Coturnix japonica: one gene and its partners. The main gene of each other region encodes a partner of the protein of the gene in region 5 in a complex. Links are inferred from orthologs where the notes say so. Each region holds a gene or a part of one and is shown on either strand. Other genes may lie near its edges.

Region 1 (5,021 bases), on a different chromosome or scaffold from region 5:
CATAAAGATGCCATGCTTTTGCGTGGGCTTTCAACAGATTGTGTCCTGCAGTGTATGTCAAGTTTTTCACAGACGGTTCATTCATTGTGATCCAAAATTTCACATGGTCCCCAAGACTTGCAAAGCTGAATTTTGCATACTCAACAAAAGCCTGAACAGTTTCTGAGTTTTCCCAAGCTCCATATTTGGCAAGAGATGTTGGAAGCTCTTGATTCTCAGCCATAGGTTGCCAGAGAGCAACAACAGGAGTTATATTAACTCTGAGAAGTTCACTACAAAAACACTGATAATAATGGACAAGTGTGTGGTTGATTAGAGAGAGATTGCCTAAAGGAAGGACTGAAGACCATTTCAGTGAAAAATGGAAGTGAGTGACGTGCATTTCCTGCAGGAGAGAGATCTGAAGTCTGATGGCAGCGAAGTCAACACAGTGATGCTTGCGTTTGGAGGCGAAAACTCCATCCACTTTAATTAACTTCTTTGTCTGGTGAACATCCCACACATAAACATTAGGGTCAAGAAACTGTGCAGGAGTTGTGTCTACCTAGGTAGAATCAGAAACACAGCAGATTCAAGGTGTTTGTTCTAGGTGTGTGGGAACATCATTACCATCAGGCACAACTCACTGACAGAACTTTGCAAGACAAAAAGTACGTGTAGCACTTATCAGATCTCTGATACAGTAACATTTTGGGCTCATATGAAAGAATTAATTCTCTGCTAACATGTGATGCCGGAACAGTACCAAATCTACACATCTTTTTCATCCTATTTGCCATACAAGCTTATGCTAATAGTTACTGTGCTTATGCCATCTCTAGATTGCTGCAGTACTCAAAGAAATGAGGGAGTGCTCAGGGCTAAAGCATTAAAACAGCAGCAGATCTCCAGAGAAGCAGATCTGCAGCAAAAGCTACAGGCTTTTTAAATATGTTTTTCTTTCAGGATTAAGCTACACCAAAGGTTCTGGCTGATGTAAATTACCCACTGGCTTCTCTTTCAAGACCACTCCTTGAGCAGAGTAAAATAAATAATGAATGTAACATCATTTCTGTGTCTTTTTTTTCTTCTTTGTGACTATGATGCAGGACGTATAAAGCTCCGCACTTGATTTTTAGCACAAATTCAGCTGACAAGCAAATTTTTTCTCTCCTGCTAAAGAAGTCCTTTTTCATTTAATTGTACAGAACTCAATTACAACTTATTTCAGCAAGATGTCAATTTCTGATGGATTTTTTTTTCAGACCTCTGAGTATCATAGAATCATAGAATGGCCTGGGTTGAAAAGGACCACAATGATCATCTAGCTCCAACCCCCTGCTGTGTGCAGGGTCACCAACCACCAGACCAGGCTGCCCAGAGCCACATGCAGCCTGGCCTTGAATGCCTTCAGGGATGGGGCATCCACAACCTCCTTGGGCAACCTGTTCCAGTGCGTCACCACCCTCTGAGTGAAAAACTTCTTCCTGATATCTAACCTAAACCTCTCCTATCCCAATTTGAAACCATTCCCCCTTGTCCTATTACTATATGTCACCCCACAATAAGCAGTTTTCCTGTAAGTCTTAGGGCTTCAGATGTCAGATGTGCCTGTTATGACATGCAACAGACAATAAGACAGGAGCTCCTCCAAGTCCCACAGAATTACAATTTCAAATTTAAGTGAGTATCACAAACATAATAAGGACTAGAAAATGGAAAAATGAATTATGCAAAATACTGCACAAAGTAAAATCCTCTTTTATAATCTGGCATAAAAGAAAGATCCAGACATAAAGGTGCTGTTCCTTTATATCTGTTTATTTGTCCCTGTCTCTCTCCTAGCGCAAGGCTCCCCAGAGTTAAGATTTCCTTGTCCTGCCCTCTGTTTGAAAAGCAGGTGTCAGCCTACAACCAGTGTTCAACTCGTAGCTGAGGCACTGCAGACTGTATAAAGAGCTGCTGAAAATCAGCTGCTATTTTCTCCGGAGAGGTCAGTGCAGTGCTTATAGAAGAAAGTAATAAAAAACAGCGTGTCTGCGGGAAATTGCTTTTCTGGAGAATTGTCCCTTGTAGATTACTAAAGCATGCATTTCCACTAATACTCTGGGAATGCTGTCAAAAGAGTTTTTCCACTGTGATGCATCTACAAATCACGCTACCTAAGCTGTACCAGCACAAACTGTTTGGACAGCATTTTGAAATGAAAATATTCAGCTTTGAAGGTTTAGGGGATAGGGGGGATTTTTACCTGTCTTAGGCTGACTGACTCTGTAACTTTACAGCAGTTATTGATCCCAAAGGCAGCAATTTCATTTCCAGTCCCTAATCTATCTACGAGCTGGGAGGATAATGACTGTTGAATTTTCTTGGAAATCGATGTATCAGATAAGGAGGGTGCCATATTTTTCAAGAGAACAAAGTTTGATCTTAGTTTTGGAGTAAGAAAAAACAAACAATCCCTACACTCCAGCCTGAAGAAATATTCTGTATTTGAGGATAACTTAAATTAAAAGTACTGTTCTTGCACCCATACTCGGAGCTGAATTTAACTGCACATCTTCACTGTGGTGGGAGGAGCCCTGTAAGCCAAAGCAGCGCCTACAAATTACAGAGCCTAACAGTTAGAGACTGTAACTAAGCTACAGTTCTTACACATTATGAAGTCTTAATGTCTGAAAGGTTCTCTTGAAATATCAGATTTAGCAAAAACAAAACCAGTGAGAGCTATGAACTGGATCCTCACTCAGTCTGCGTGTTATCCAGGGGCGCTGAAGCTTCAGTCAGACACAGTTCTATACTAAAGGGCAAGGAAGGAATACAGGAATTTTATCTAAATTCAAGTAATTTACTTTTTTTTTTTTTTTTCTTTTTAACACATAAGTCCTCTAACAAGGGTGCCAAAGTGTATACAAATGAGATGTGGAAACAAACCATTTTAAGCACTGGGAGTTTTCAGGAAATTTTCTATAACATGCATAACCACAGCAGGCAAACACATTGCCATTGACTTGAAAGAGTAGTGACACTCTCAGTCTCATAAATTAGGACCTTTAGAAACACGCTTTAGCACATCTAAGCAACTTCCATTAAATAGAATTAGAACTGACTTCAGTAACACATCACTCAACATATCCAAGAAAGCGCATCAGACCCTTTCCCTTCTATACGTTTTTCTAGGTCATTCTTTCCTAGACTGTATGCTAGACCGGCTCTCCTTGGTCACACAAAGAAAGTCTAGTGAAGGATGAAAGGCACAGTGTTTGCTGTAAGTCTTACACCCATTTCCTTGCAGTGCTGTAGTAATATATGCCAGCAAAGTCCTCGTTCAGCAAATTTACCAACATGATCTTGTCCAGTGGTTTGGCTGGAGAACCTACTGGCTGCACCGTCAGACTTACCTGAATGTAGTTGTCAACAATCCCCCAGGCAAAGCCACAGGGAAAGACTCCCGCTATGGGCTGGTTTTCAGGCAAAGGAGGGAAGCCATTTTTTTCTATCAGCTTTTGATAGAACAAGACAGAAGATTTTGGTATCAGCTTTTTGTCGTGGCTTTGGAAGTCAACATAAAACAATCCGCGCCGAATGCTGTATCCCCTGTGCCATTCAAAGCCATCCAGGAGGGACCAGACTGTGTATCCAAACACATTAACTCCATCGTACCGGATGGCTGAGGAAAGAACAAAACCCAAACTCACTGCAGGGCTCTTTTTTTCCTGAGTAGATTATACTGTATCAGCAAAGTATGCAGTATTTACTCATAAGAACAATAGGTCAGATAAGTATAATCTTAGGGTCTGCTTTAAAGCCCACTTAAGAAAGATACTTCAGCTGCACCAAGGATGCTCTGGGACAGGCTGTCAGCACACGGGCATGCTATGCAAGTCAGCAAAACTACCTGACTTGGCTTTAAAGAATCCAGACTCAAAAAAGTAGTGATGCAGCAGCAGATCAAGCAGCCCTGCTGACAAGGTGTGCCAATACTTGGCCTTGGAGCAGGGCATGCTGTGCCTGAACAGTGTGCAGCCTCTGAGCCAGTACTGCTGTGCTCTGCTAAGCGTGTGCTGCAGCTCTCCCAGAGCCAAAGTGTCACCAGCGTAGCACTACCTGGTCCCCAAACCCAGACAGTCTCATTTTTCCCATTCCTCTCCACTATTAATATAGATGAAGAAAGCCTGGACAACATTTTTGGGTAAAGACTGTTAATTCTATCCCCTCATATATTTTATGGCATAGAGTTTTCCAGCTTAAATATTCAAAGATTTGTAAACATATATATTCTAGGTCATCTGTTTGGCTTTTGTGAGATTCCACACACTTTTTAGGTTAAAGTAAGAGTCTACTGTCAACTGTTAGTATAGCCAGTGTTGCAGCTTTGAGATTTCAAGCAATTCTCACATTAAGTTGTATCAAACACTGAGATTCAGCAAAATATTCCTCAGCAAAGCTCAGCTTCAGTAAAGCACACAGAAGAGTGCTTATTTTAATTACATAATTAGACCCACCTAATTCAGCAATGCATTTAAGTGCACTGTTAAATGTTCCTTTGAACTTGAGTTTGGCTCAGAAGTCAGAGGAGTTTGACTTTATTACTCAACATCTTCTGTAAACCCAAACTGAGTACTGACTGCATATAATATTTTCCAACTTAATAACACTCAGAGCATGTTTCAGGGGACCAGAGTATCAAGATCCTCATTTCCTGGTTTTGTTAATGTACCTCATTAAAGTAAGTTACGAGGGCCCACATGGATTCTTGACTGTAACCCTGTTTGATTCAATTGAATTAGCTGTGGTTATATAAACTACAAATTTGGCTCAGTCTCTATCACAGGTCATGAGAAAATGTCTAAGGAAGTGGAACACGTCTCCTCCTAAAGGCATCATTCTTTTATGTTTGGCATATGCTGGTATTTTTCTAACCTCTGCTCATACACATGATGACATCTGCTGTACCAGCAGAGTAAAAGCCAGCACAGGTCCACTTTGTTAGACAGAATTTCTCTTTGAACAGCACGTCACCCCTTCTGTAAGTCATCACA
Region 2 (5,710 bases), on a different chromosome or scaffold from region 5:
TGCAATAATCATGACATTGTGTTGTATAAACATCAGAAGAAAAGCTATTAGTTCTCTTATTAAAGCGATTTCAAGCCTGAGGGAAAGACTGAAATTCTAGAGAATCACATGGCTCCAGGAAAATGGGCTTTAACAAAGAGCCAACTCAATCAGCTGCTGTGATTGCTGCCACCCAGACTGAGACAGTGAAGAGGAATCTGAAGAGAGTGCTTTAATGGAGAATGCTTGACATGCGCACCCACACAAACGGATGCTTACACACTTACATGAGGAACAACTACACACCAGTTTATAATCTGTTCAGGTCTGAAATGAAAGTTTACATATAGCTCTGATTACACAGAAAGGGCAACAACAACAACAGAAAGAAAAAAGAAAGCGATGCTTAAGAGTGGACGAGGCAAAGTCTGTTATGTTATACCTGCTCCTGTACCACTTCTGCTCAACTGATAAAACACCTGCCTATGCTGCATGGAATTACACCTCTGGACAGCAGTTTTCAACTGTCTGAAGCCAACAGCATTAAGTCTCAGGTCAGCCTCAGCATTTTCATCCTTTGTTGTTACCGTCATTCAATTTACTTATTATTGCAGAACATCACGCAGGTTTCTTTGCACATACTGGTAACTATCTTCTTTTCTCAGTCTTTATGTTTAAAAGCTCAATGCACACACACAACAAATTCATTGTCTCAAAAATCCGACAGATGAACAGCAGTTATAAGACTCCTCACTTAAAATCCCTTCAAAATGCACACTGAAATCATAGTCGCACTGCCACAGATTAAAGGATCTCAGATTTTAAGCATGCTGACAAACCACAACCAAACGATGCATCCAGACCCTCCGTGCTCAACCCAAGCTCAGCTTCACCAAAGTCAGCCAGGATCAAGCACACTCCAGGCTGGCACAACTCATCCCCATTGCCAGAAGCAACCTGTTCCCCTCACACCCCATTGGGTGCACCTCGACCCAGTGCTGCACAGGCACCGGCCTGTGCCTAGGAGCTTGAGAGCAAAGAGGACCAACTGTATCCTCCTGTGGTGGAGATGGTCCATGACAGCAACACATTCACACGAAGTAGTTGAGTCCCAGCTGAAGTCCCACAGTGCTGGCTACAGGTCAAGGCCCAGGCAGCCCTGCTCTTCCCCTCAAGCACGTGAGTCCCACCACCACTTTCACAAAACACCCCGTCCCTACCTCACAAGGATCCAGCCCAGAGCATCATCAACCAAAAGACACAGAACGAATCATAGAATGGTTTGGGCTGGAAGGGACCGATCCATATCCAACCTCCTGACGTGGGTAGGGTTGCCATCCACTAGATCCAGCTGCCCAGGGCCCCATCCAACTTGGCTTCAAACACCTCAAGGATGGAGAATCCCCAGCTCCTCTGGGCACCCTACAGAACAAGCCACTTGCCGTCACCAGCCCAGCTCCACAAGCTGGCACTCCCAGCACAAGGGGTAACCAGGGGCAGGCTGAAAGCAGAACATCCAGTCTTAATCCACAGCTGATGCTGCAAAGTGCACCTGTGTACCGCCCTATTTTACATTTCAATTTGCCACAGCAGCTCAGCGTGATGATTCTAATACATTTCTTTTGGAGTTCAAACGTCAGCAGCCTTGTAAACCGCTCTGCTGAGGAATGAATTTCAGACGCCACTCAAAGAACTGTACTGCTCAAACTGTGAGACTCAGGGCTCATAGAAGTGAATAGTGCTGACTGCAGGATCAGATCCCCTACTAAGCATGGACATCGCTGCTTTCAAGGTGATCTTCGAGAAGTAAATTATTATAAGTAGTAGTGCACACTGACTGCGAGAAATAACCTTGCAAACCTACAAGCAATTACATTTATTACTGCATTGGTAGATTGAAAAGGGAATCGTGAACAATTAATTTTGACTACAGCCAACCACCAGCATTCGAGACAAGACACTGAACTGGAAAGTGAGCAAAAAGCTGCTTAACCAAATATAAATACAACCACTGGGACATTGTTTCAACAAGCATTTTCAAAGCATTCTTGATACGTAGGCAAATAAACCCAGGGCTTCTCAGTCAAGAAATAACGTTCTTAATCACTTTCCATTTGTGATGCAGGGAATATTTTTGGACCTGAACTGGTGACTCACACTGATATCAATGCACATTTGTCTTGAAGCAGGCTCCAACACCGCCCGCAGGATGGCTGTGCTGCTCAGACACACTTGTAAACTGAGGGAAACAGCCAGGGAGCCTCGCTGGCAGTTCTGCTGATCCAGACAAACAAACAGATCTGAATCTGGATTTACTGGATCTGAATGTTTCTTCATATCGACCCGCTTCTAAAGCAGAGATGAATCTTAGGGAAATTAGGTTTTTGTTCTTTTAAATACAAAAGTACTGCAGAGCCAGCAGTATGGACTGAATGAGAGTCATCATACAGAATGATTTATCACTAACACTGTTAAAGCAAGATACAATACGGCTGTGCTTTCTCATTATGCTAAATGTCACTTTGTCACTAGCACTATAAGTAAAATAAAAAGCTAAGAGACAGCACGGTGTCATCTCTTACCAACTGCCCAACATCATCCTAACCTCTTCTCACCATCACCACCCCTCGTGCTTTGATGCTGAGCAGGACACGGAGACCATGAAGCCAAGAAAGCGTCTCTGTCTCACCACGGCTCGGGCAGAGAACCGATGCAGAGCGGTGCCCAAACCCCTTCCGACCTCCGTGATCCCCCACATCCACATCGCAGAGAGCCGGGAGCAGCGGCCCAGCTTGACAGCTGGCCATGTCCGACCCGTGGCACCGTGCAGGCCGGGCGGGCACGGCCGCTCCCGCATTCCGCTCCTGCCCCCGGCAGCCCCCACCGCCAGCCCGGCCCGGCCGCCTCCGCTTTTGTTCCGACCCCGCTCCCTCCGTCCGTCCCCTCCCGCCCGCGGTTCCCGGCCGCAGTCCCGCCCGCCCGCGTCGCCCCGCCGGCCCCGCACACTCCGGCGGGGAAGGAGCGCGGCCCCGGCCGCGGGGCAGGGGCGAGGGGAGCCGGCCGGGCGCCCCGCGAGGCGAGGCCGGGACGGGGACGGGAGCGGCGCCCGCACCCACCTCCGCCATGAGCCCGCGCCGGCCGCCGAGCCCGGGGCCGGGCCGCCTACCACGGGCGAGAGGCGGCCCCGCGTCCGCGGCGGGGAACGGCGGCGCCTCCCGACAGCGGCGGCGACAGGGCCTCGCTCTGGGCCGGACTCAGCCGCACAGCTTCCGGAGCACGGCGGGAACGCCTTCCGGGGCGGCACGGCCCCGCCGAGCCCCGCTCGGGCTCCTCACCGCTCCGTGTGGGTCCCTCAGACGGTGCCGGCTCACAGGCCGACGGGCGCGGCGGACACGGGGCGAGGCGGCTTCGTAGTCAGCGGTTGAACGTGAATGTCCGTTGTCTCTTTGACAGTTCAGTTCTCCATCTTCTATTGGTTGCTGGTCCTATCTACAGTCATTTTTCATCATCCCAGACTGAGATGACTGCTCGTCCATTGAGATGCGCTATAGATGCCATTCTTTTGAAGACTGCTTGCAACTGTCTACAAATTATGAACCAACGTTGCTTTAAGTCACAGAATCACAGAATGACCCGGGTTGGAAGGAACCTCAAGGATCATGTAGTTCCAACCCCCTGCCTGGCAGGGCCACCAAACATACACCTTTACTAGATCAGGTTGCCCAGGGCCCCGTCCAACCTGGTCTTGAACACCTCCAAGTTCTTTGATGGCATTTTCAGTTCTGTTCTACATCACTCGGAACTTCCTTTTAATCAGCTTTGAAAGCAGAGACAACTTCTGTACACTGTAAGATTTATCATGGAATTTGGCCTTAGATTATTGCCCTTGCCTGTAAGCTACTTTAAAAATTAAAGACTATTCAGTTCTGTAATCAAGAGAGCAGCCCAACCGTATGTGAACTGTTATCAGTAGATTTATCTCATTAATAAAGTTTTGCCTTACTCATATTCTTAACTCCTGGGTCTGACAAAGAAGGAACTCTGAGGGGATGGAATGCCAGATTGCATTTCTGGAGTGTCCTTTGGATTCCATCCCATTTCACGTCTCCTCTAGTGGGCAGCCCTTTCTGATCAGCAAGAGTTGTGTACACTTCAGCATCAATACTGATCAAAGCCTTGGAGATGGATACCAGTTTCCATCCTAAATGTTTCAGCTACACACTGAAACATAACAGGCACCACCTAACTCAGCTGTAGGTGAGGGCTGTTATATAATGGTTCCTTTCAGGGTTTGTGACTCAGCAGCAAAAGCATGTTCCTGGCTGAAGTGTGGTACAGCATCTCGCTCTCTTTCTCTGTTGTAAGATGCTACCTAGGAGTGGAGTTTTATTCTATCAGTTCCAAAGTCCATTTGACACTAACAAAAACTTATTAAAAACCAAAAAAACAAAAAACTCTATAGCAAACATTTCAGGAGCTGGAAAACAGATTTATAAAGAGAGAGAGCGGGACTTATTGTGTTAGCTGAACAGAGCAACACTGGTCACATTCTGCCTCTCCTCATGTGTGGCATGCTAAGTAGAATGACCCTTTGTATGTCAAATCAAGAAGTTGTTGTTTTCACAGTCAAACAAAGCCCTTGCATACAGTAATGGCCATGTAGCAGCCTCTTATGGCCCGATCTGCTCTTCTTCAGAAAAAATCCTATCCCCAGGGAGTTCATACTATTTTTTTTTTTCAGAAGAATGAAACTGAGCCAATAATTTAAACCAGTGGCTCACTGCTTCATTAATAATTTCATCATTAGTTACATTGTCAACATTTCAGTTAAAAATGAAAGAGAGAGAGAGAGAGAGAGAGAAAGAAAGGGAAGGGAAGGGAAGGGAAGGGAAGGGAAGGGGAGGGGGGAAGGAAGGAAGGGAAGGGAAGGAAAGGAAGGAAGGAAGGGAAGGGAAGAAGGGAAGGGAGGCAGGGAAGGGAAGAGAAGGAGCGAAGGGAAGAAAGGAAGGGAGGAAGGGAGGGAAGGGAAGGGAGGGAAGGGAAGGAGAGGGAAGAAAGAAAGAAAGAAAGAAAGAAAGAAAGAAAGAAAAAGAAAGAAAGAAAAAAGAAAGAAAGAAAGAAAAAAAGAAAGAAAAAAGAAAGAAAAGAAAGAAAGAAAGAAAGAAAGAAAGAAAGAAAGAAAGAGAAAGAAAGAAAGAAGAAAAGAAAGAGAAAGAAAGGAAAAAGAAAGAGAGAGGAAAGAAAGGAAGGAAGTGAAGGAGGAAGGAAGGAAGGAAGGAGAAGGAAGGGGTAAGGAAGGAAGGAAAAGGAAGGAAGAAAGGAAGAGGAAGGAAGGGGAAGGAAGGAAGGAAGGAAGGAAGGAAGGAAGGAAGGAAGGAAGAAGAAAAGGAAAAAGGAAGGAAGGAAGGAAGGAAGGAAGGAAGGAAGGAAGGAAGGAAGGAAGGAAGGAAGGAAGGAAAGAAGGATAAGAAAGAAAGAAAGAAAGAAAGAAAGAAAGAAAGAAAGAAAGAAAGAAAGAAAGAAAGAAAGAAAGAAAGAAAGAAAGAAAGAAAGAAAGACATTGCTTCTGTACAGTTTAATTCACACAATGAAACCCCTCCTGAAGTGACTGCTGGAATCTGACAGATCTTCTGTACTTATTCCTGTCACATCTGGGGAAGAGTGGGGTAGGAATTACACAGATCATTGTTGGTATTGCAGTGGGTTTTTCCTCAGATTGGCTTCATCTTGT
Region 3 (5,618 bases), on a different chromosome or scaffold from region 5:
AGAAATCAGGTTGAGTGTTTTAGGCACTTCTGTCTATTATATTCATCTGCGTCATCAATTTGCAAGTGGTTGCCGTCATCTTGTAATGTAGAAGCGAGGACTAGCATACCTCCTGGCATCCATCATAGCGTGTGGGTCATCTGGGTTGACTACATCATTCTGATTGACTCTCACGGGTTCTCTGGGCACATGGGAAAAGTCCATTTGCAGCTGCAGCAGAGAATCTAATGCAGAGACCTTTCTCTGTGGGATCAGGATCTGGTGAGGATCCATTGGATCGACATCTGCACTTCTAGTGTTTCTGTGGGGTTCAGGTGTGTTGAATCGAAACAAAGGGATTTCATTTCTCCTGGACAAAAACTGGGAGTACGGTGGTGGATTCATACCAGGGAAGAAAACTTGCTTAGTTCTGCCCAAGCTAACCAGAAAATTGTGTTTGGGAGATTGGTACACATCATATCCATTTTCCAGTGTCCTTTGGTTGAACACACAGTCCTCTTGGCTGAAATAATGCTTAGGGAAGGGAAAGAAAATAAAAAAAAAGACAAACGTCAACAAAGGGATTTGGTGGAGTACAAGCACCTGTTAAAGACAAAAAGACAGATGAGACATTGCAGAAGGTGTTTTCTGATCTTCCAGGTCTGCAACTCAGACAACTCATGTTAATCCAGTACGAATGTCTGAATTTTCAACAGGAGTGTTATTGAGCCAACACTAGTTTCAGCAGAGGGCTGCATTGCTTGAACTACTGTGAATGTATACTGTAGCAAGTCTGCAAGATCTCACTGGATCTCTTTCTGCTTTCATATATTCCAGCAGGAACTCAGATGAACTCTTTATCAGGTCTACAATTCAGTGCAATCAAAGAGGAGAAAAAGTTTAACCTAAGCAGCAGGTTATCAGCTTGCCAAAATCTGCATCCTACTGCTGTACTTATACAGATTTGCTCTATGTGAGGAAATGGATCATATATAGCAGACTGTGCCTGTCTTTTACCTGTTAAAGGTAACTTACCGATCCAAAAATGTCTCCTTTCATGTCCATGCATAGGTAGCGTCCACTCTTCACACCTGTGATTATCACAGAGCCAGCACCCTCAGACTTGATCATTAAGGCACCTTTTTGAGAAAGCAAAGATGTCAAATCCAGAATCCCATTTGACACCACACTCTTGCCTTGCTGGTCCACATGCTGATTTGAACCCATCTTCTATGTCAGCTGGGACTATTGAGCTCCTTAGATCAGGTACGATGTGGCTTTGTTTGATCCTTGGAAAGTTCCTACAGTGGAGATGCCACTACATCTCTTGATCTGATCTTGATCTTTGTCTGAACCCTTGTTCCAGTGCTGCACTAACATTCCAAAGAAATTTTTTTTCTAACATCCCAATTGAAGCCTCAAATTCCACTCTGGGCCAGTTTTTCCTTTGTTCTGTCTCTGGCCATGACCAGAGGGAGTCTGACTGCCTCATCTTTATGACTGCCTGTAGTGACTGCCCCATGGTATTCACTTTAAACTACTTTTTACCACATTAAATAAACTTAGTTCCCTCAACATTTTCCAAAATTGTTTATGTTCATGTTCAAGGCCACTGACTATCCTGAAAACTCCCTGCTAGACCAGTTCCAATTTCTCCACGTCCATCTGAAACAGAGTTTTTTTACATAATAATGTAAAAAGACCAGGTTCATTGGTGCTAAGTAAAGGCTGAAAAGTAATTTCCCTTGACCTGCTGACCACAGTACATGGCTTGCCATCTTCTTAAACTGAGTGTGTGCCCTCTGTAACCCTTAGTTCCTGCCCAGAAGGGCTGCACACATCCAGCCTCCTCCCAGCCTGCACAGCACTTTGGACTTTCTATTTACCTGGAATCTCACTGCTAGTGGTGACCTGGCAGAAATTCAGTCACCTTCCCTTTCATGACCCCACTGACTGATTTCAACCCCTCCTACTCAATCCTTCCAAATATATGTGGATTTTTTTCATTACAGATATGGGCAAAACATGGATTTTTACTGGCTGTTTTCTCTTTTGCTTCTCTCTGGTTATAGCCCAGCATGCCAAAAAACAAATTTTATAAAACCCATAGATGTATGGGAAAAATAACATTAAGACAGAACATACATTCCTATAAGTGTTTCATCAGTAATTCCTTAAAAGAGAAATACGGGAACTTGGTTATTTTTTCTCTTTGATAAATTAAACTTCTAAAATTGTCTTTTGTTCCTTATATTATTTTGCACAAGTATTACAAGATGTGCTTATTAAATATAGTTGTGTGGATGAAGGGCATGTTATGCAGTAGTAATAAAAATGACTTTATGATGCATAGCTACTTGTGATTTGAGTGCTGTTAAAAGAGAAGCAATTTTGGAATCCTATCTAAGAATGATTTGTCCTAAAAAAAAAAAAAGACAACCAAACCAAACCAAACTACACTTTCTTTCTTTTTCTTTTCTTTTTTTTTTTTTTTTTTAAACTAATGAATTTGTTCAGGCAGGCATCCAGCAAAGAATACCTGCATTTTCCATGAAAATAAACTACAATGGAACCTTTGAGTTACAAAAGGGAATAATTACCTCTGATGGACTCAGAAGGCTTAGCACTTCTTAACTACAATCTGGACTTTCACAGTTTCCCCCCATTTTATCAACTGTTGCACACTCAGTTACCCACATTCCATGCACAACTAAGTTTCTGCCATGCATCTGCATTAAAAACACATAACTAAAGTTTCTCTTATAAACCAATCTTCAATAAAGAGTGGTTTTGATACATTTGGAAGAAAATGACCTAATTTTAGTAGATCGAATATCTCCACCCCAAAATATGTTATGACCATAATCTGGTTTCCACAACTGCTGTGGTGATTTTTCTCAGTGCAATGCTATCATTGCAGTGGAAATGTAATCACTAATAAAAAATTCCACAAGAAACCATGGGTAAAATCATAAAATGAAGGATAATTCAGGTAATTTTTGCTTGCAGAGCATCACAGGAACCACACAACTTTAGTCATCTTAGACAAAGATAACTACCTGTTATATACCCCTTGTACCCCTTATGTATATACCTCTTCCCCACCTGTTATATTTCTTTAAAGCAAAGTATTTGTTAAACAAAATGAGTATTAGAATTGTGTATGTTTTTGATCCCATAGCTCTGCTCCTCTCTTTGTATGCCTGGCAAGATGATGGAATTTTGTATAGGTATAGAAAAAGCAAAAGTCTTGATCCCCCTCCCCTACTCCCATGAAGACAGAGGGTCCATAATAAGCTACTTACTGTAAATGGTTTGGTGAGGAACACCACTGATGTGTCCATCAGCATTGATTTGGAGATGGAAGCTGTTCCTCTCTGTAGAAGTGTACAAGTGCATCAGCTGATCTCCATTCCCCCAGCTGGGATTCAGTAGTGGAGAGGAGTTAGGGAAGGCAACTGCAGCCTTCAGTATACACAGCACAAGCAGCGCATACTCCAGGCAGCTGCAGGGACTGGTGTGTGTCATGGTTCTCAGCTCTTAGTGGCTGTTCCGTATCTGAAACTTGATACTCCTTTGCGCTTTTCACTTTCCCTTGTTTGTCTGTGTCTGCAGCAAGAATCCTCAGATAAGTTCCCTTCTTTGCAGGGCTTTATGAAGAGCAGGATAAGTGACATCACACAGGAAAACAAAACAAAACAAAACAAAAAAACTTGTCCACATCCTTGATTTTTGTCAAAGCAACATTTTAAGTTTTCCAAAACCTCAAGGGAAGGAAAGCACGTAGGATCTCTGGGCAAGGTGTAGGGGGAAGAAATATAAGGTTTCTAAAGACAGCTCACCAAAGCTAATCATATGTTCAAATGTTATCGACAAACTTGTGACATCTTAAAGTTTCCTGTGCCTCTACTGTTAAATCCAGAAAGAGCAATCCACTGTAATTTCTGTGAAGAGAAAGGAATGACCCATTAAATTTATTGTGTTTTTTTTCCCCTCAGATTTAGATTTCTACCTCCTCTCTTCATTTCTAAACTACATTCTGATTAGTTGAAAACAGCAAATTAAAACCAAAAACACAAGTTAAAAAAAAAAAATCACAGATCCATCATAATCTGAGATTAAATTGTTCTGGGTCTGTTCCTTCATTATGGTGTGACTTTAGCAGTGAGTTTGGCGGATTGATGTCTGTGTCACCTCATTTAAGCAAGTGAAACTTGATGTGCACACACCTCACTCCAACTAAGCTCTTCTTTTTATTGCTCCTCTTTGAATCACTTAAATAATTTGGAGTTGACCAAACAGCTGAAGATCAGCTGCAGAATACTTAGAATCTGAAGTTTGTTCCCTCATTGCATGTTTGGTTAGTGGTCTTTTAGAGAGCCACATAGGTTAGCATGGCTAGAAGATCTAGGATCTGAATCAAAAGTAAAATCACTCATAATGGCACATTTCTATTGATTCAGGTATAGCAAACAAGCTTGGGATGTGAGTAAATTGAAAAGAAATAAGTGTAAAGTGATGTTAAAATGGTTTCAAGATACTATATCTGCTTTTTCGTTTGTCCTGTCAATGTACAACAGTTCATCAGCAACTTTTTTGATTAAGAAACATATATTGTTCTGCTTATTGTATAGAAGTACTGTACTAAGGGGATGCTGGCTATACAGATTAAGCAGCAGTGATAGGAATACTTGTGACAATAGGCTGTATTTAGCTGTTGGCTTGTTTGTTTCAGAAATGAATACAGAATGAAAAGAGCACAAAGCAATAACTGAATCACTTCTTAAGAAGACGCCTGGAGATTTTAAGCATAACAGTCCTAGATTCACTGCTTTCAGGCAGAGAAGTTAGTAAGTTACAGGATTTAGTTAGACACTGTGAAATTCTTAGTCCCATCAACAGCTGTGGAGCAGTGCCATCAGCACAGAATACAGCTTGATAAAACTACCATAGTAGATCTGATTATTTTTTAAGTTTAAAATTAGTAGAACTCTGCCAAATTCTTCTATCACACCTGTGTAAATCTAGAAACTTGCACCTGTGTAAATGGAAGCATTTATTAGCCAAAGTGTATAAGGGTCAAGCTGAGCGGGCAGACAAAACTGTCTTTACTCTGAGGCAATCAAGGCTACAGATATTTCAATGGTTATAGTGTCTGAAATGTTTTTTCCATCTTAATTTAAAAGCTATCTAAGAAGAAAAAGAAGCTTTTTTCTTTTCTTTCTCTTTTCTTTTCTTTTCTTTTTTTCTTTTCTTTTCTTTTCTTTCTTTCTTTTCTTTTTTTCTTTTCTTTTCTTTTCTTTCTTTTCTTTTCTTTTCTTTTCTTTTCTTTTTCCCTTTTTAAGTGTATCTATTTAGTGTTAAAGTTATTCACTTTTTGTTTGGGGGGGGGAGGAGGAGGGTGGAGGGGTCTGGTATTCAAACATAAGTATTTATATTATTATTTTTTTTTTCTTTTTCTCTGTTTCATTTGACTGCTGTAGAAATGTGGATATAAATACCTCAGAAGCAGTTATAAAGGTTTCCACAAGAGGCACGTTTTTTAATTAATATTATTTGTGAATGCAGTTTTTCTCATTCAATATTTCATATGCATGATAAAGCCCTTCTGTGCTTATTACTATGCAATGTTCTGAACT
Region 4 (5,021 bases), on a different chromosome or scaffold from region 5:
TCCCCTTGCTGCATTTGCTGCCCCCTCTGCTTGAGGCACCAACTTGCTTGCTATAAATGGGATTCTGATGACCCTGAGAATATTGCCACTGCAGATGAAAGATAAACAGCACAAGCCAACATGATACTGAAAAATATTTTCTGTCATTCATAACACCCACTCAATAATAAAGAGTAGAAACAGAGAAGGAAACGGTGTTTTTAAGCGTAGTCAACACAAGGGCAGTTTGGCCATGTCAAAGACTTCTTAAATACCAAAAAAGACAACAGGGAAGTAAATTAATACATCAGAGCAGGAAAAGGAAGTCCTGAAGAACGTTTTTAAGTAGAGGTAGTAGTACAGGTACACAGATTAGGTACGTAGTTTAGCAAGATTTAGCGGTATAAAACAAGTCCTACTGTAAACTTACAGCACTACGTATTAAAAACCAATAAAAGGGTATATTTTTAACAATACCTCTTCCGCAGTTTTCCATGTGATTTCACGGACGCTTTGGTACCATTCAAACAGCTCTTCTACTTTATCAGTTGCAAATTCAACACACGGATCTTCTGGATTCTTAGGTTCCAAAATGAAGACAAAAGGCTTTTTGTGTTTCCCTTGTGGCATTTTCACTGTCAGGTAAGTAGCAAAAAGTTTACACTAAAATCCAGTTCTTCTATGCTGTCACTGTTAAACTGCACTGTTAAAGTCCTGGCCGCAATAAGTGCTCTTATGGGACCGAACAATTAGTATCAGAATCTTTTAAAGTATTGATAGTATTTGCTACATGAATACTAATAGCTTTCAAAGCCAGTTATTTTATGCTAAACATAAGGGATCCACTTCAGCACAGAAAGTTCAGGAGTCAACACGCACAAATCAGAAAGTACATACCAACATTGTACGTATTTAGCACCAAGATGCCGTGACACAGAGAGCCTAGAGGATTGTCCTCAATAATCTGTGAACAACATGAGATACAGCTGACACAGTCTTCTGCACAGAACATTAACAAATAATAAATACACACCACTCAATCTAATTACACTTTCATTGAAGGCATATCCACTGTAATATTTAAAAGGCAAACTAATTCTAAGTTTCAGGCAAGTTATAGATTAGATAAGCCATGTGAAATAAAAATCCATACTGGTATAATATACAAGAAAACAGAATCAAATCAGTTATCTCTTTGAGCAGTTTTCCTTGATGGACATCCTGACTAAAATGCTTGACAGCACAGAGAACAGTGAAGAATGCATTCATTTCTTTATTCTGCATTCCCTTAAACAAAGCATCTGAAGTCCATAAACCAGATTCACAGCAGGAAGTGTGTTCTCAGTAAACACAGAAGTCAAACCTTAAACCTCACCTGGCTTTCAAGCTCAGCAGAATTATCAGATGACAAGTCTTCAACGTAATTAGATGGAAAATAGTGTTGCACTTTTTCTCCATAATCCCCTTTCCACCTGAATTAAGACAAAAAGCATACACAGAGAAAAAAAAAATAATAGTTTAAGTGCTTCAACAGGCCATTAATGAGAAAATGATACCATGATTCTATGAAATAATCCTCAAGAAATTGGTCATTAATACCCAACAATAGCTTCTCCAGTTGGCAATCGCCAAGAATATAAGCGATGAAGTAGTTGCAAGATCTAACAAAGTGATCATTAACTGCAGTAACAGATCATTTCAGAGGGATTACAGCTACTGTATACTGCAATTAATGACTTAAGAGGCATTTCCCCCTCCACTACTAAAAATACTATTATGTGGTTGATTGCCCTGCAGAAACTACAGGGAAATATTAGATTCCCAAGCAATTTGCAAGGCAGCTAAGAAACAAAGCCACTGATGAAAGGAAACTATACAGACAACTAAATAAAATGGATTTCATTCCTGAGAAGTACTAAACAGAGCAAAAGAAACACAGTAATGATGACACAGGTAATAGATGCACAACTTCTCAGAACACAAGTGTTAAGGAAGTATTAAAGTAGGAACGGAGAAATAGGGGATACACTGGTATGATGAAGATTCTGCAAGCTGAGGCTAGTTCTGTAGGGCCAAAAACTATGTAAAAGACAGGAGATTTACATCTGATGTTTCTTGCTTTCATTTAGTATATCAGTATTAACATTTATAAGGCCTCATTTAATAAGCAGCCATCAAACAGGCATGCTTTTAAAAACACGCTATCCAAAGTTTAATCTTCCTCTCCCATCCAGTAAGCCACTAGAAGTTCTCCTACGAGGAATCTTTGTCCTTACCAGCCTCCAGTTTCCTTTGTGACATTATGAATGAGAGCTCCTCGACAAAAGCTCAATTCATCACTTCGTTTGGCTCTGTAGTCATACAAGGCTTTCACTGTTCTCTGAGGCTTTAAGAGAAACAAAGCAAACAGGTCATCCAGGGGGACAGGTCATAAAATGATCAATAATGCAATTTTATTGTTTTTAAGAGGAGGAGGAGAGGGTGGAATTGAATCCTTTTCTGTTGCTGTTACGCCTGGAAAACACAGTACTAAAGCTTCATAGTGACACCCACTGTTGGAAGCAAGTAATGCTACTTAACTGCTATTTTTCAAGTATCAGCTTGGGTAAAAAAGTGTTTTGTTTGGTTTTTGAAAAGCACTGCAACATAATTACTATCGCAAAGAAAAAAAGAAGTGTCAATCTTCTACACCATTACAGGTATTTATATACAGCTGGAGCTCATAGGCAAGTATACAGTCAGAGAGCTTCCACTTCCAAACCACATCAGCTATCCTGCTGCTCACATTTCCTTTAGGAAGACATCTAGTTTCAGCAGAAAAAATCATTGCTTTATCTTATTAGTACTCCAGTTCTTCAGTAGCAACTTAAATACATCAGCCAAAAAGACTAAAAGAAAATTATAGCCACTGAATTAACCAAACAGGTGAAGTTTAGGGGAATCCAGGAGGAGACCATAACAAGAATTAGAGGTGAGGAAATGTCTGCTGTGCTGCTTGGTATTAAATTTTGGAGCACACCTGAATAAGCACATGTACAAATCAAGCCACCTCCACAGACTAAATAGCAAGAAGTGCCTGAATTCCCAATATGGGTGAATCAGAACAGAACTCATTGTTTTCAGAAGTCTAAGAGAAGATCTGAAGGCCATCTCTCCAAACACATACCACTGTAGGGGTGATTTCACTGGGTTCCACGTACATCTTGACATCATAAAGAGAGTTTATATCTTTTTCCTAAAAATGGGAAAAAGGAAAAAAAAAGGTAAATTACAGTCATCAAAACTTAGAAAAATACCTTTCTGACAATAGAGATGCAAACTGAAGATCATAAGACAGGTGTCTGGCTTCCCTCTCCATCTCCATAGTTGAACACAGCTGAGCATCAATATTAACAATAATCACAAGGTCTAAAATTCTTTCTGCTCCTTTTAGTCCAGAAGAGACAGAAAAAAACAGACTTGAATTTCCTGAAAGATGGCAAATTCGTTTTTCCCTGCAGAAGAGAGAGCCAACTGCAGGTGAGGCTATTATAAAAAACAGAGCAGTATCTCCCATTTCATGGAAGAGCTTTTCTAATTAAATTATGAGGAAAGCAGAAGCCACCCTGTTAACGAAGATGAGGCTTTTTCCTTCGCATGTCTGAAAAACTTTTAGAGAAATCAGTGTAACTATCTTGATTTCACAGACTGCTTAAGCCTCCCTGAAGGACATCTATCACAGGCAAAACCAAACCCAGCTCCACCAGACCCAGACTTGGGACTCCATCTGCTAAAGCACTTGGCACTCATACAAAGGACATCACTTACTGTGCTGTAGCGCTCCAGCAGCTCCTCAGTCACAGGGTAACGCAATTTCATTTTCCTGTACAGAGGGTGCTTCTCATAGTATGTTACCAGCTCCACCAAACTCTCAAAGTAGGCTGATGTTCCAAGCACAAAATGGCGACCTTCTTGCTGAATTCGGAAGTGCTTCACCTTCCCCTCAGCTCTGTGAAACAAGTATAAGTGCTGTTGAAGGTATTGGTACTTGGCATAGCGAAAGCATCAGTGCTGCAAACTAGACTAAAATTGTTTTACGCATCTTAATCACGTGAAATAGTTTCTCCCTCTTCCAAAACATCTTTTATTCAAATAGAATTCCATTCGCCTGATTAAATTCATAAAAAGATATTCTGACTTTTCTACAACATACAGGGCCTCGGGAAAAATCCATGTTTTTGCCTAGATTAAATTTCCCTATTTTGTTCCTGTACACGGGGGTATTCTGTCACTTTCAGACGAACATAAATGTCTAGAATCAGACTGAGAGTCCCTTCGGAATCCACCGCTGCTGATCTGCCGCTGTCCCTAAGCAATAAGTCAAACTCACCTCAAACGCAATTTGATTTGAAGGCACAATGGAGAATACCATAATTCCATACATTTTATTAATGTTGTTATAGGCACCAGAGTTTCAAAAATATTTTCCCTGGCAATAAAAGCCTACAAATAGATAGAAAACACTGTTGTTTTGACAGATACCGAACGGATTTAAGTCAGTCAGACGACAGGGTGGAATTCCCAGAGGATAAAGAATTATTGCTGAACCAGCACCAGAAAGAAAGTCAAAACAGTGCTCTGATGCAGGGAATGTCAAGGAATTAAAGAAGGGTCACACACAGCTCTGCACTGCAAAAAAAGGGACAACTGGTGCCCAATTTTGTAAAGTTAAGGTTTATTCCATTGACAGTTTACTGCTGTACACTTTCTCACACAATTTTGACCACACGTGGTCTGCTATACAAATCAGCCATACTAATTACTCCGAATTTGACAGCATGGACTTTATGACTCAAAAAATAAACAATCATTTTTAAATGGAAGAAGAAAAAGAGAATAACAAAAAAAAACCCCACCCAGAACACTGTTGGCTACTAGATAATGTATTCACATCTGTCTTCTCTTACCTGAATGTCATGGCAAATGAATCAGGCTCGTCTCTCTTTCTTATTAGGAAGGCTCCATCTCGAGGAATTCTCATCAGCATGTCTTCCGCCTCTCCT
Region 5 (5,615 bases):
CTCACCTGGTGCTGCTCTGACATCACCCCAAAGCCCCGTGCGGAGCGCACCGCGTGAACAAGTGCTTCTTTGCCATATGGGATCTGGCTCCAATGCACATTACTACAAGGTGAGTAACCACTGCAGTGAGTAATGGGCCACCACTCATCCCCCCACGTGCTCTTGGAGCCCTGGATGCCATCGTGCTCCTGCTTCCCAATGAACCCTTTCCCACCACGGGGCATCCTCTGTCCCAAAGGACCTCATTTAACCCTGGGGCAGCTTTTGCCTCTTCCCTTACCAGCTCTTCAGCATTTGGCACCCAAACTATTCACACAAGGACAGGAACACCCAGCAAACACGGGCATTATCTATAGCTGGTGAAAACACTGATGGAGTGTGAGCCATTTATCAGCGGTTGGAAGGAGGAGGTGGGAACGCTTCATGGAAAGAAACAAATTCAATGGCATTTCTGGAAAGTATTTTCTGTCTCTCTGAGGTTTTGTTTATCAGCACCCCCCGGAACATGCCCTAATGTGGAGTGGCTACAGCCCCCCCCCCCCAGCACGGTGCACACAGCGGCTCCCAGCAGTGAGTCAGGGCACAGAGTGGGGCTCAGCTGCAGTGGGGCGGGCGCTGACTCAGGGGCCGACAGCAGAGAGTTTCCATTGCAGCAGGGATAGTGATGCACGCGAGGCAGAGCAGCCCAGGAACCCTCCAACCTGTGCACACAATGCACAGCTCCGCTCTGTGTGCAGATATGGATCCCCAAAGGAATCTGCTTGCTCCAGCCCCAGCGTGAGTTTCCAGCTCCTTCCATGCAAGCACTGTCCCTGCACGCTGCAATTTGCTGGTTGGGGTGGATTCAAGTGACTAAAAATGGAAGCAGAAAGCGAGGAACCAGAGCTAAGGGCCCCTTAGAGACCTGCAATTACAACGGCCACAACACCCACGGGGCTATTTAGGAGCTGAAGGAACACCCCTATGCCCACCTGTGCACGCTCCCACCCCAGCACAGCCTTTGCCCACATAGGTGCAACCTGCCAGCCCTGCTGTCCTCAAAATGACCCCGGACCTTCGCCCTGTGCTGTGAGTCAGGGCTGAGTGAGCTGCACATAGGATACACAGCCCAATGCTGAGCAGAGAACAGTGGGGAAACCCCTTCCCAGCATATGGCTCATCCCTGGGAAAGTGTCCAAGGTGAGGATACAAGCAGGGCCACGGCACCGGGACACCCCAGGTGGGAATGGGGCTGGGAGGGTCACCAGGACATCCCTAAGGGGCTCCATTTGCTCCACATGGGGACCCTGAGGTGATGCTCCCACCCATGGGCAGGAGATGGTGACCACAAATGGGAGACCCTGACAATGATGTAGGATGAATTTGGCTCCAAGCCCCTCCATGTGCCCTTGCAGCAGAAGGGCACAGCAAAGGCAAAGCTCCTGGTGGCACAGGGAACCTTTTCCTTGCCCTGCACTCCTTGACCCAACCGCCCGCTCAAAACCAAGTATTTGCTGAAATAAAAAGCAAACACGACTGCAGATGTAACTATAGGGAAAATCAGTAATGCTTAAAGCAGACGCATGCTTGGAAAAATAAATATCCAACTGTGCGGGCTGCATTCAGCATTAACCCTTTGCAGCCACATGGTGCAGCCTGTTGCACACCAACGGCTCCAGCACTGAGTTACAGCGCACTGCGTGCATGCAGTGATGTGAATGGGGGTCTGGTGGGGCACAAGGCTCAGTAAAAGCAGATCAGGTTTAAAAGAAGGGATGCCCACCTGGGGGCTTGATTTTCAGGCATGCTGATCCCTCAAAGGCTGCTCCATGCTGGTAGTGCTGAGTGCTCCAGCAAAGAGCTGCCCTAGAATGGGACACAGGGACACAGCCCCCACCCCCTGTTAGAGGCAGAGTAGTTACCCAGCTGGGAGGGAGCGGGATGGGGTTTGCTGCACTCAGCTCCTCCCAGGAAAGCTACTGCGGGCGGAAGGACACGCAGACCTATCCCCGCTGCTCACATTTGCCTTCATCCCCAGGAGCAGAAGGTCCCAATGAGGGTAAAGTCAAACTGCTGGGACAAGCATCTGTGCTCCAGGCCCGGCTGAGCAATGGGGGCTTGGAGATCCTCAGCTCCCAATACACTTCATTTGTTTTCAGGTATATAAACAGAGAGATCCCGTTTGCACCTGAAAGTAGCTCGGGCTCCTTCCCAGTGGGCGCAGTGCACACAGAGCACAGCGCTGCTCCTGCCGGGGCAGGGACGATCCTCATTTGTTTTAATCCTCACTGAGCAACACAAGAAAGCAACGGTGCATGCCAGGCACGGTGGAGATTAAGGGAGGAAGTGCTCCTGTGCGGGGAAAATGGCTGCTGGCCGGAGGGAGAGGTGCGGGGTCCTGCAGCATCCCGGCCGGGCACATCCCGGGATCTCATGATTGCAAATCAGTGCCGAGCACAAAGCTCCATCTCCCTGTGCCTGGGAGCAGCCTCCAAAGCCGCAGTTTTGTTAACGCAAGCACTCGCTAAATCGCACTTTGGAGGTCTGGCCGTTGAGCCGTGACGCCCGGAGCACCGCCGAGTTATCCAACAATCCACACGGCGCTCGGCTCCGCTCGCTGGAATCCGCCTCAAATGGACACTCAGCGCCGCTCGTTCCCCGCGGCAACCGCCGGCCTTAAACCGAGAACCGAACCGCTGTGACCCCACGGCACCACGCGGAGCCCCGCGCCCATCGGTCCCGCACGCATCAGCCCCGCGATGTCGCCAATGCTGCGGCGTAGGCGGCCGCCACGCTGCGCACACGCAGGAGCCGTTCCCCGATGCTGGCAAAGGACGCTCCGATCCCCTTCACCTCCCACGCCAACACGCACAAAGATCTCAGCCCGGCTCATTTCCATCGCCTCCGCAGCCGATTTGTACCGAAAAGGCCCCGACATCTCGAGTTCCAAACGCAACAATCCCAGCTCCTTCTCCATCTTCTTTTAGAAACCTCCAGACTCCCGCCCAGTAACTTTTGGCGGCCGCAGGCCGGGCAGAAGCTCCGGGCTCCCACCGGATCCTCAACACGGAGAGTCCCGGAGCTCGGCACCGAACCGAGCAGAACGCACCGACCCGAGAACCGGGCACCGAGCCACCGCGCCTCCGAAGTGCCGCCGGGCGGCTGCCCGGGGTGCCCTGGGGCTCAGAGCCGAACCCCCTCCGCACACACACCGAACCGCTCCGGTGTCCTTAAACCCTCCGAACCTCCGGTACCGCAGCCCCGCGCCCTCGGTACCCGCAAGCCGCAGCCCCGCGCTGCCCGCAGAGGGGCCCCGTCGGGCCGCCCCCCCCGGTCGGATGGGGATGGCCGCGATCCCGGAGCGATCCCCCCCCCGCACGAAGCACAAATCGCGGCCCCGCTCCCTCTCCCCGCACTCACCGGAGTCCCGCGGGGCGGCGGCGGAGGCGCGGTGCCCGCCGCTCCCGGGAACAATGGAGGGGAGCCCCGGCCGGGGCGAGAGCGCAGCCCCGCCGCCGCCGCGTTCACTGCGGCCGCCCCATGGCGGACCCCGGCCCCGAGGTGGCGGCGGGATGCGCTCCCGGGAGGCGCGGTCCGCCCCGACGGCCGCCGCTCAGCGCTGCCCGCACCGCCGCGTCCCCGCCGCGAGTCGCCGCCGCCGGACTGAGCCGCTCCCGCAGCGCCCCGCCGCCTCCCGCCGGCTCCTCCCCCGCCTTCCTCCCAGCCCTCCTCCTCCTCCTCCTCAGCGGCCTGATGGGGCTTGTAGTCACCGCCGGGCCGCCCCCTCGGAGCCCCCGGGGCTGAGCTGCCGGCAGCCGCCCCGGAACGGACTCTCGGGAGTGGGGCGGGGGGGGGTTTGAAGGCGGCGGTGGTCCCCGAAAACTCCGCTCGTGGAGCGGGGGGATCGCCGGATTGTTGCTCCGTTGCTCTCGGCTGTGACTCACCCCATTGTGTGCCCTACACTGCACACAGGGAGCAGGTGTGGGGCAGCCCTGTACCCCAGATCTTCTGCTTTGCGACACCCCGGGCACCCTACCCTTATCCCTACCCCTAACCCACATCGTGGGGCCGATTTGTATGGAGTTTCCATACCCAACACCTTCCTGGGAGCCACCACCACTGCTGCAGTTTGTGCTGTGCTTTTGGGTAACCTCTCCCTGAGCTCTGGTGCTGCCCTAAAGCTCAGCACCCCAAAACATCTCTGCATACACAGGCAGCATTTGTGCTGGATGCTCAAGTTGAGGACATGGAGGTGTATGGCCGTGCCATGAAGCCCAGCCTGGCCTGACCCACAGATGGAGCTCAGCTCTGGGTGAGCTCCCCAAAACTGGCCCAGGGTTCAGCCCAGCAGCCCCCAGTCAGCTTCACACCAAGGCAGCCCAGAATGAAGACATCTCCTGGCTGGCAGGGAAAGATCTGCGCGAGGCAATGTGCAAGTGATTAAGTTATAACAGGGAAGAGGACAGGCTGAATTAGCCCTGTCAATCACCATCGCTATATTTGAACCAAATGCTGGGCATCCATCTCAGGAACAGCCTCTTGCTGCTTCAGGCAACTGTTCAGAGTGTTGTGCCAAGACCTACGAATACTTTCTTTCCAGGATGACAGATGTGTGGACAGAGGGAGGGGAAGGTACCATGCGTTATTCCCTTGGCAAACTGAGGCTGCTGAGAGCAGGAAGCACAGAGGCAGGCAGAGGAATCACGTCCCTTTTGCTCTTGTGATGGTTTTTCTGCTGGATTCCATCAACAGACACTGGTAAATGGGCCCTTATGAGCAAAAGAACTGGCAGACAATAGGAAAAGCATCCCCTGCCCAAGGAGGCTCAGGGGTATATCCACATCCCCAGCATCAAACTGGGGCTCAGTGTGGGAATGACCATGAATTATCATCATCTGGTGGCACAAGTGGAGCATAAATGGGTCCTATTGGAAGAGCAGGAAACCCAACTCTGCCACTGAGAGTGATGGAGTCTGCTGGGACATTGGTGGGCACAAGGCTGGGGATGGTGCCTCAGTGCCCCCTGCCCACCCGGGGGGTTCTCCATGTGTGGCCATGATGTGCCATTCCATCCCACGTTATCAATGCAGCCTCAAGGTGCTGCAGATGGGGATTTCACAGGAACCCGGGATTGTTGTTGAACTGCTCTTAATCAAGAACAGCATGAGGATAAAAGGGACGTAAGGCTCCGTTGGCAGAACAGCCCACAGGATCTGTGTGCATGTGCTGCTGTGCTTGGGCAGCAAGGGAAGAACTGAAGGTGCTGCTGGGAGAATAGGGGCTGCCCTGACCTTCGGTTTCCCACTTAAAGATCCGCAGATCTCCCCTCCTCCCCACCACAAAGGGGCTCCTTTCAGTCCCTACTTCTGCATTTAGAAAACAAAAGCAGATGCAGCCAGTTTGGGTTTGGAGGGGGGGGGAGGCAGGAGCAAATGCTGAATAACAAAGAGCTTTCCCTGAAAGATCCGACTGACAAAGACTTTGCAGCTTCATCCCTCCCTGAAAAGGCCTGAGCACATCTGGTTCTGCCTGGCTGTGGGTCTGCCTGCCTGCAAGAGGGGCTGTGTGTGCACACGTGTGTTCTTTGCAGCGCATACATGAGTGTGCTGGAGGCTGGATGTGCACCGAGTATGCAC

The links.
Region 1: the proteins of FGFR1 (region 5) and KL are in contact, whole or in part, in a cryo-EM structure (PDB 7YSH), measured with the Homo sapiens proteins. The link is inferred for Coturnix japonica from reciprocal best matches to the Homo sapiens genes FGFR1 and KL. Residues at the interface, in NP_075598.2 of Homo sapiens: Asn272, Gln288, Leu290, His292, Ile293, Asn296, Gly301, Pro302, Leu305, Pro306, Tyr307, Val308, Gln309, Ile310, Leu311, Lys312, Glu322, Leu326, His327, Leu328, Arg329, Asn330, Glu334, Asp335, Thr340, Leu342, Leu349, His351; in NP_004786.2 of Homo sapiens: Ser539, Gln540, Phe541, Asp543, Leu544, Asn545, Val546, Tyr547, Leu548, Trp549, Asp550, Val551, Lys555, Arg556, Leu557, Val560, Val563, Thr565, Lys566, Arg568, Tyr571, Val573, Ala576, Glu625, Arg628.
Region 2: the proteins of FGFR1 (region 5) and FRS2 are in contact, whole or in part, in an NMR structure (PDB 1XR0), measured with the Homo sapiens proteins. The link is inferred for Coturnix japonica from reciprocal best matches to the Homo sapiens genes FGFR1 and FRS2. Residues at the interface, in NP_075598.2 of Homo sapiens: His409, Ser410, Gln411, Met412, Ala413, Val414, His415, Lys416, Leu417, Ala418, Lys419, Ser420, Ile421, Pro422, Leu423, Arg424, Arg425, Gln426, Val427, Thr428, Val429, Ser430; in NP_001036020.1 of Homo sapiens: Asn25, Val26, Asp27, Asp28, Leu33, Leu47, Thr49, Arg50, Asp53, Ser54, Val55, Trp57, Leu60, Cys61, Leu62, Arg63, Arg64, Tyr65, Gly66, Tyr67, Asp68, Ser69, Leu71, Ser73, Phe74, Gln81, Thr82, Ile86, Phe87, Ala88.
Region 3: the proteins of FGFR1 (region 5) and FGF23 are in contact, whole or in part, in a cryo-EM structure (PDB 7YSH), measured with the Homo sapiens proteins. The link is inferred for Coturnix japonica from reciprocal best matches to the Homo sapiens genes FGFR1 and FGF23. Residues at the interface, in NP_075598.2 of Homo sapiens: Glu159, Lys160, Glu162, Lys163, Lys164, Leu165, His166, Ala167, Val168, Pro169, Lys172, Gln244, Asp246, Val248, Glu249, Arg250, Ser251, Pro252, Val279, Tyr280, Ser281, Asp282, Pro283, Gln284, Pro285, His286, Ile287, Ala314, Gly315, Val316; in NP_065689.1 of Homo sapiens: Leu31, Leu32, Gly33, Ser34, Trp36, Gly37, Tyr43, Ala45, Thr46, Ala47, Arg48, Asn49, Ser50, His52, His66, Ile75, Arg76, Ser77, Glu78, Asp79, Ala80, Gly81, Val83, Val84, Tyr93, Phe108, His117, Gln118, Thr119, Asn122.
Region 4: the proteins of FGFR1 (region 5) and PLCG2 are in contact, whole or in part, in a cryo-EM structure (PDB 8JQI), measured with the Homo sapiens proteins. The link is inferred for Coturnix japonica from reciprocal best matches to the Homo sapiens genes FGFR1 and PLCG2. Residues at the interface, in NP_075598.2 of Homo sapiens: Lys504, Asn506, His541, Lys542, Lys598, Ser602, Tyr605, Gln606, Arg609, Glu612, Tyr613, Ser616, Lys617, Lys748, Asp755, Arg756, Val758, Ser762, Gln764, Glu765, Tyr766, Leu767, Asp768, Leu769; in NP_001412678.1 of Homo sapiens: Phe528, Arg540, Thr568, Phe569, Pro570, Asn571, Phe577, His585, Cys586, Arg587, Arg589, Ser590, Thr591, Met592, Gly595, Leu601, Thr602, Asn604, Leu622, Arg623, Cys624, Ala625, Glu626, Phe627, Glu738.

Annotation. Positions count from the first base shown.
Region 1 is NC_029516.1:155,892,008-155,897,028, forward strand, and holds part of KL (klotho), read right to left. Parts: intron 3,650-5,021; coding exon 3,381-3,649; intron 545-3,380; coding exon 1-544. UniProt on the Homo sapiens protein: May have weak glycosidase activity towards glucuronylated steroids. However, it lacks essential active site Glu residues at positions 239 and 872, suggesting it may be inactive as a glycosidase in vivo.
Region 2 is NC_029516.1:32,157,504-32,163,213, reverse strand, and holds the start of FRS2 (fibroblast growth factor receptor substrate 2), read right to left. Parts: upstream 3,242-5,710; 5' UTR 3,096-3,241; intron 1-3,095. UniProt on the Homo sapiens protein: Adapter protein that links activated FGR and NGF receptors to downstream signaling pathways.
Region 3 is NC_029516.1:67,143,853-67,149,470, reverse strand, and holds the start of FGF23 (fibroblast growth factor 23), read right to left. Parts: upstream 3,630-5,618; 5' UTR 3,508-3,629; coding exon 3,285-3,507; intron 1,119-3,284; coding exon 1,015-1,118; intron 514-1,014; coding exon 76-513; 3' UTR 1-75. UniProt on the Homo sapiens protein: Regulator of phosphate homeostasis. Inhibits renal tubular phosphate transport by reducing SLC34A1 levels. Up-regulates EGR1 expression in the presence of KL. Acts directly on the parathyroid to decrease PTH secretion. Regulator of vitamin-D metabolism.
Region 4 is NC_029526.1:13,917,398-13,922,418, reverse strand, and holds part of PLCG2 (1-phosphatidylinositol 4,5-bisphosphate phosphodiesterase gamma-2), read right to left. Parts: coding exon 4,926-5,021; intron 3,968-4,925; coding exon 3,787-3,967; intron 3,215-3,786; coding exon 3,146-3,214; intron 2,366-3,145; coding exon 2,256-2,365; intron 1,452-2,255; coding exon 1,355-1,451; intron 944-1,354; coding exon 877-943; intron 615-876; coding exon 457-614; intron 1-456. UniProt on the Homo sapiens protein: The production of the second messenger molecules diacylglycerol (DAG) and inositol 1,4,5-trisphosphate (IP3) is mediated by activated phosphatidylinositol-specific phospholipase C enzymes. It is a crucial enzyme in transmembrane signaling.
Region 5 is NC_029537.1:3,723,886-3,729,500, forward strand, and holds the start of FGFR1 (fibroblast growth factor receptor 1), read right to left. Parts: upstream 3,604-5,615; 5' UTR 3,400-3,603; intron 1-3,399. UniProt on the Homo sapiens protein: Tyrosine-protein kinase that acts as a cell-surface receptor for fibroblast growth factors and plays an essential role in the regulation of embryonic development, cell proliferation, differentiation and migration.